Danio rerio: one gene and its partner. The protein of the gene in region 1 interacts with the protein of each later gene in a biochemical or structural test. Links are inferred from orthologs where the notes say so. Each region holds a gene or a part of one and is shown in the gene's direction. Other genes may lie near its edges.

What was found.
Region 2: the proteins of thbs1b (region 1) and plg form a complex in vitro, tested with the Homo sapiens proteins (2 studies listed by BioGRID). The link is inferred for Danio rerio from reciprocal best matches to the Homo sapiens genes THBS1 and PLG.

The regions. Positions count from the first base shown.
Region 1 is NC_133195.1:31,785,955-31,789,889, reverse strand, and holds the start of thbs1b (thrombospondin-1), read left to right. Parts: upstream 1-1,441; 5' UTR 1,442-1,599; intron 1,600-1,702; 5' UTR 1,703-1,722; coding exon 1,723-1,786; intron 1,787-2,498; coding exon 2,499-3,058; intron 3,059-3,139; coding exon 3,140-3,215; intron 3,216-3,613; coding exon 3,614-3,703; intron 3,704-3,790; coding exon 3,791-3,900; intron 3,901-3,935. UniProt on the Homo sapiens protein: Adhesive glycoprotein that mediates cell-to-cell and cell-to-matrix interactions.
Region 2 is NC_133195.1:46,003,990-46,007,924, reverse strand, and holds the start of plg (plasminogen precursor), read left to right. Parts: upstream 1-1,261; 5' UTR 1,262-1,266; coding exon 1,267-1,315; intron 1,316-1,422; coding exon 1,423-1,452; intron 1,453-1,579; coding exon 1,580-1,706; intron 1,707-1,812; coding exon 1,813-1,919; intron 1,920-2,708; coding exon 2,709-2,823; intron 2,824-2,921; coding exon 2,922-3,061; intron 3,062-3,935. UniProt on the Homo sapiens protein: Plasmin dissolves the fibrin of blood clots and acts as a proteolytic factor in a variety of other processes including embryonic development, tissue remodeling, tumor invasion, and inflammation. In ovulation, weakens the walls of the Graafian follicle.

The DNA.
Region 1 (3,935 bases):
TCAACACAATTATTGAGTTATTTTTAATAACTTGTTTTACGTTCAATTCACTTAAATTTGATAAAACATTTAAGTTAACATAATTGATTTTTGTTAGGACAACTTAAAAGAATTGTGTGGAACCCAGCATTTTAACAGTGAGATGTGAAGACTATACTATATGTCAAAAGTCCTAGTGTAGCAGTACTGTCATATCTACTTCACATACAATTCTAGAAATTTAGTTTGTATGATTAATATCTTTTACATTTCTATTTTCATTGTAGTAGCTTTTAGGATAATACCATGTTTTTGATAGTGTTGTTTAGTTACCTTTTATATAACCATCATCCCAAATGGTTAAACTATGCTTAGTGTAGTTGGTTACCACGTGTACTTGTACATGGTTTGGCTATAATGAATTTTCATAAGGATATGTGAAGAGTTCAGATGCAAACACCTGTAAGCGCCATCTGATTTTTTTCTCCTAAAATTAGCATTTTTCAAATGTAAAAGTTGAGTAATTTTCCTTTTATGTCAATTAATATTCTATTTTCATTGCATTTTATATGAAATTAGTGTATATAAATATAGAAGTTTCAAAAAATTATAATTTTGAAAATTTTAAGATGAAACTTTGAGGTTTTTGCATCTTAACTCTTCATATATGTTTTAGGGGAGTTTTTAACTTGACACTCCTGACAACATAAAAAGTGCTGAAGTTAAACTATTTTTAATGCTAAAAAAAAAAATAAAATAAAAAAAAAAATATATATATATATATATATATATATATATATATATATATATATATATATATATATATATATATATATATATATATATATAGCATTTAGCTGATTTAACATTAAATCAACATTAGAAATCCTTTAGAGAACCAGGTGCTCAAATAACCATAGATCGGCCTCTAGCGGAGACGCGCCTTACTGCAGCAGTTACTTCACAGGCATCCCATTAGATGCTGTGAATGGCAGATACACCGTACTTAAATATAAACACTTTCTTTAAAAAAATAAATAAATAAATAAGATACAAGAAAAAGTGACGCTTGACCATGAAAACATACTTTGAACCATTTATTATAGATTGAGTGAAATGAAAATACAATAGCTAAGACAAGGAACGGAATAGACCGAATCCTCAGTGACAAGAAATAACTGACATTACTAAATGATCAAACAAAAAGCAGTGCGACGAAAATAATCAGCACTGCGGCAAATAAAACGGAACTAAACGGAAGCAGCAGTCATAAAAAGCAAAAGTATGTTTATGGAATGTGGTGGCTGGAATTTGTGCGTTTTTCCCTCGTGTGTAAGTCAGACAAACGCTCTGTGAGGTAACGCAAGCTCGTCCCTTTTCCCTTTCAGCATCTGATTGGAGGAGACGCGCGCTCAGGAATGCCATGAAACTATTTAAATAGCACTTTGCTCTCTTTGGAAATAGTTAGATTGACCACTGTAACTACTACAGCAAAGCAACATCGAATGCTGTAGATCGCGACTAAAAAGGAAAATTATTTCTTATACGACCTTTGATTGACGCATCTTAGGAATAATATCACTTTTCCCTGGATTTGCTGCTGTTTTAAACTCTTGGAAGGTGCGTTTAAGTTTTTTTTAAACCTTTGATTGATCAGACCTGTTTGAGGGTACGTTTGGCTCATTTTTAAATAACTTTTGCCTTTATTTGTGATTTCTGATAGGTTAAAGAATAAGTGATAAAATGAAGTCAACTGCAATCTTTTTGCTACTGATGCTTTGGAACTGCGAGAGCGCGAGAGTCGCAGGTGAGCGATGATTCTTGAGCTGGTGCCGTTCAGTGATTGGGACTGCTCCAGTCCTGTGGTTAAAAGAACAACTAGCTGTTAAATATTACAAAATTACTAGCCATTTGGTTATTATGCCAAAATATACTTGGGACTTGTGGGTTTATTATGTGACTTTTTAGCATCGGAAAAAAATATTTTAAGAAATATTTAAACTAAAAATAAGAATGTCTATTTTAAGTTTAACATGTTTATATTTCTCAAAAAATTCCTCAAGTATATTTCATATAGTCACCATAAAATCCATTTAAAGAAAACAGTCTACCTATGCCTTCAGTATAATAACGTACTTTATGGAATAAAGTTTAATTTCATAAATAAAAAGTAGTTAATCACCTCATAATTCACAGTATACTTTTATAAACTAAAAACGGAACAATTTAGTCACAATTAGTACACATAAAAATATATATTTAAGTCTGCTACTTAAGTAAAAGTATTCAAATATACCTACCTGAAATACACATGCTTGTTTGTAACGATACATTATATGAGCGTATGTGACCGGTCAGTTATATTGAGTTGCTATGGGCAACGATATTTGATTCAGATAATTGACAGCTGAACTGACCAATCAGAATCAAGTACCACAGAGAGCCGCGTATCAATTTAAAAGTAATCTTTAATGTTTGATATATCCATTATAACGAGATTTATTTAACCTTCCTGATAGAGAGTCGAGACGACAACAGTGTTTACGATCTGTTCGAGCTGGTCCAAGTACCAAGGAAAAACCACGGAGTGACCCTGGTGAAAGGCGACGACCCGTACAGCCCCGCCTACAAGATCCTGAACCCCGACCTGATCCCCCCGGTCCCCGAGAGCGCCTTTAGGGACCTAATCGATTCCATTCACGCCGAGAAAGGATTTCTGCTGCTGGTTAATTTCAAGCAGTTCAAACGCACGAGGGGAAGCCTGCTGACTGTGGAGAAGAATGACGGTTCTGGACCCGTGTTTGAAATCGTTTCCAACGGGAAAGCCAACACTCTGGACATTGTTTTTTCCACCGAGAACAAGCAGCAGGTCGTGTCCATCGAGGAAGCGGACTTGGCGGTGGGACACTGGAAAAACATCACTCTTTTCGTGCAAGAGGACAGGGTTCAGTTCTATGTGGGATGTGAGGAGGTGAACGTGGCGGAGCTCGATGCCTCAATCCACACCATCCTGACTCAGGAGATTCCAGGTGTGGCCAAAATGAGGATCGGTAAAGGCGCGGTGAAGGACAGGTTCATGGTGAGTGGACTGTTCACTGTATGAACTCTGTTGCATGTTAACAGAAGCGATGAGAAGTACTAACCACTTGTGGATTTTTAGGGGGTGTTGCAAAACGTGCGCTTTGTATTCGGAACCACGCTGGAAGCCATCCTGAGGAATAAAGGGTGCCAAAACTGTAAGTGTAATGCAGAACACATGAGTATGCATCCATAAGAATAATGATGAATGCAAGCTTTTGTGCACATGTTGGTTCGGTTTTCTTTACATATTAACTTTTAAATAAGTGTCTTTTTAATAAAAAAATAATTAAATTATATTTTTCTAAAAAATCGTTGGACCATAAAATTAGCAATACATCTTTTCTTTTAAGTGCAACAAAATGAACCAGGCAAACAAAAAAGCATCACATCATAAATCCAAATACATCGTCTTCTGTGCCAGTGAATGAATAATAGCAAAATTAGACCGATAATTTAAGCTGTATTCACTTTTCCATTCATTTTTAATTGAAGTCTTCTGTTTGCTCATTTTTTATAATAATCTTTAAGCCATCTGTATATCTTTTTTTTCTAGCAGCAATGACTGATATCATTACCCTTGACAATCCCATAAATGGATCCAGCCCTGCAATCAGGACAGATTACACTGGCCACAAAACAAAAGGTAAACCTTAGTTTTCAGTTAAAAATATTAGTTATTTAAAGTGCGCAAAATCCAAAACTTATAAAACTGCATATTTCTCCTTTACAGATCTGCAAATGATTTGTGGCTTTTCATGTGAGGATCTGGCTGCCATGTTTAAGGAACTGAAAGGTCTTGGTGTGGTGGTTCAAGAACTGTCCAATGAACTCCGAAAAGTGGTTAGCAAAAAGAAAGAATATATATATCAACTATA
Region 2 (3,935 bases), about 14 Mb from region 1:
AGCTCAAATCTTGATTGCACTAGTTTATTCTCATGGTTGCTTGACACAGTGTTCAGAATTGCAAAATTAGGTTGTTCTGTTTGTATTGAGTTAGCGTAGGACGGCTCCAGCTTTCTCAGTTGATAATTAACTTGTAGATTTGTGTTCTTTTTAGATGGACTAAATTAATACATAATGCGGTTTATTTTATTATTTAAAAATTCTGCCTTTAATATAAATGTTTAGATTTTGGGATCTTACTCTTAAAATTAAAAATAAATAATCAATAAATAAACAGCAAGTAACACAGTGAATTAAATAGGACATTAAGTCCACTGCCAAAAAAAGTTCCATTCCTATTACTGTTTACTATTTTGTGTATTTAATTCGAGATTTACTTCCAAGTGTGACCAAAAGGTGAGTGCCTTATTTTATTTTGTGTATCTTTTCAGCTGTATATGGTTGAGAGAGGAAGCTCAGTGAGGTTTATGCTGTTAATTTTCATCTTTGATTTTTGCATTAGGTGAGCTAGTACTCTAAACTTAGCTAGCTGCTTTCTGTTTGTTGTTTTAAGCTATACTCACTCAGTTTGACATCTAGTTTCTGTTAAAGTACCTATATTTCTATCAAATAAATTATACATTTCTAAACCTTGTGCTGACTCTTCACTCTTATCTTTTTTATTAGTACTAATTCAATATTATTCACCAAATTTTAGGCTTTTTTAAATTTTTTTTACACATTTTAGACAAGAAGGTCGTAACACATTGGATCAACTTAAAAAAATTAACTTAAAAAACAACAACTTTTTATTTTAGGTATAGCATGTTAATGTAAAGTTTATCTAATATTACACCTTGTACAGTGGTGAAAGACAGAAATTGTATTATAATTGTATATTAGTTTTTATTATTTAAAATGTTATGTATATATTTTACATTAACAATCTTGTTGTTTAATTGATTGCTTTATTTAGATATATACTTTCTCTGCTGATCCTCATTGTTTTTTATCAGTGCAATTTACTATGAATATATGCAAATGCAAAGTAAAACCAAAGTTGATAATCAAATAAAAAAAAACAACAACTCTCTGATAAATCATGTGATCATAAACAGTAATGATGGGTTCAAACAAACCGATCGACAAATCAAACACTTTTTGACCTGGTCCATGTCCTTGTTAGGACAATGATTGACTGATGAGTGACGGCCGGTGATGTTTGTTGTACTGTCATGTTTAAAAGATTGAAAACCTCTCAAAGTCCCTGCCTGTCAATGCTCCGACATGGAGGTACACAAAGCAGTTCTTTTACTTGGTCTCTTTCTTTTTACAGGTAAGGATGCTTAAAATGGTTTAAATTTATCTCATATTTGTGATTAAAAAATACTAATTTAGCATTTGTTTATCTTTATATAATTAACATGATCATAATATCTCCAGGTTTTCTCAGGAGTCACAGTCAAAGCACAGGTACTGTAGGAAGTTTAGTTCATGTTTGACACAAAAATCTTTGGAGATCAAAGGTTATATCTTTATATTTTAGACTTATTCTGAATTAAGCTTGCATTTGTGACTTACTTTTTCTATATTTCAACAGATGTTCTGGAAGCATATATTAAAACTGATGGGGCCTGGATAGTGAAATTGCCTAAATCTCAATATACTGTCAATACAGTGGAGGAATGTGCCGTCAAGTGTAACAAAGAGGTTTCCTTTACATGCAGGTGCATTATTAAAACCTTCAAAATATACTGTTTAGCACTAAAGCAGTCTAATGTGTGATCATCCATGCTATTCAAATAAAATTTGGGATTTATATGTGCTTGTCAGGTCCTTCTTGTACATCGAAAAAGATCAGGATTGTGTAACATTACCTGCCAACTCAAAAACTGATCAAATACTGAGAAGAATGAGTGCTGCCCTCTACGAGAAAAAGGGTAAGATTTGATCATCTAATCCATTATTTTGTGGTTTTGAAAGTTTGACAGCGAACTCTCTAAGTAATTTAAGCACTCATCACTCTTGTTTGAATTGAGCTTTAAGTGCACTTGGAATTAATAGAGACAGGCTTTTTCTTGTTTTATTTTTTCAAGAGCCTGGGTTAATATATAATCCGCATTTATCAAAGTGTAGTTTGGTCCATGTCAGTAAACAAAGTGAAGAAGACTATCTAAAAATCCATCATCCAATGAGGGATTGCTCATGCATGTATTAGGCACTGACCCGGTTACAAAAAATTGTCCTTAACAAACATTTGTTCTCTGTTCTCTGGTTTTGGTTTAGGAGCCAAATTTTACATATTAAATAATGTTGTGATTCAACTCTGCTACATAAATATTATCACTAAATCAAATATCAACTGTATTAAAATTTGTCACAAATTACCATGTAGCAGTGTAGAAAATGGGCTAGGTTAATGCTTGGCTATCACATGTAAACACAGGTTCAAAATACTGCAGATCTTGGTTCACCTTATGAAACATCAATAGATATAAGAAGCATTTTACAACAGCTTACTTTTTTGCCCAACGTACGCACAGTTAATGGGTCACATTTCATCATTCGCATCTTTTTTACAAGACCAGTTTTTCTGTCACAAACCCTAGCGGACTATGCAGAATGTACAGTAACTACCATTATCCACAGTTCTACTGTATATCGACATCATTAGTAAACAAAGCGTTGTTAAGTATGCTGTAACCAATTGATTGAATTCCTTCATACAGAGTACTTACTGGAATGTGTAAATGGCATTGGCATGGACTACAGAGGGACAAAATCCAAGACAAAATCAGGGAAAACATGTCAGCGATGGGAGGGAACTTTCCCCCATGTACCCAAGTATGCTTCTTTATCAAATTTGTGTTTCAGGATGCTGTAAAAGACAAAATGTTTATCACAGTGAACAGCTAAATAACTTCAGTCATATCTTCCCGCAGCATAACACCAAGAGCTTACCCAAAAGCAGATTTGGAGTCCAACTTTTGTCGAAACCCAGATGGAGATAAGGGGGGTCCCTGGTGCTACACCACAGATCCTGAGAAACGATGGGAGCACTGCAATATCCAAGACTGCACAGGTGCATTCAGCAATTAAACTTGTACATAATGATAAGAAATCATACAGATGGATGGAGAAATCCCATGCAAAATCTCACTGTTGCTTTCATTTAAAATGAGGGAGTAGACTATTTGCTTTATAAACAAATCCTACATCTAACCCCCTGGTAACATCATTACACTGATAACTATATGGTGTGATAAAATAAATTGAGAAGATTTGCTACTTAATCATGCAAATATTTAGAAATGATCTTGTACCTTTAACTAATGGCTCATTTTCACTGAGTGGTTACGGTGCGATACAGTTAAATACAGCACACATTAATTTCCATTTCCACTGTTATAAGTATCAAAATAGTGAAACATAGCATACATTTTGGGACCCTTTCGCAAGAGTACCTTGCACAACAGTATTGTAAAAGGTTGGAGCAATACTCGCAGCTGAATGCTATTGGTTTACAGAGAATCATTACTTGTGCATGCAACAAGAAAAGGGACCAACAACACTGGAAGTGCCATTTTAAAATACACAGCTGAAACATGACATAATAATGATACAATAATGACACACAGCTATGAACAAAGATTAAAGAGCCCCCATTATGCATTATTAAAGGCCATATTTTGGTTTTGGCTGTGTCCAACAACAGTCTGATATGCATGCAAGGTCTAAAACACTTTCATTGTCTTATAATATGCATTTATTTTTACCCAATTATCTCAACGACTCCCAAAGGATTTGTTCAGCGATTTATTTGTTCCCTAAACCCCTCCTCAGCCCAATGCTAATCTGCACTGATGACAGCGTGAGACAGAGAGAAAAACCCACCATGGCTTATCAACATTGTTGAAGTAGTCAGAGTGCAGAGTATATGTGTGAGCCCAATGCAG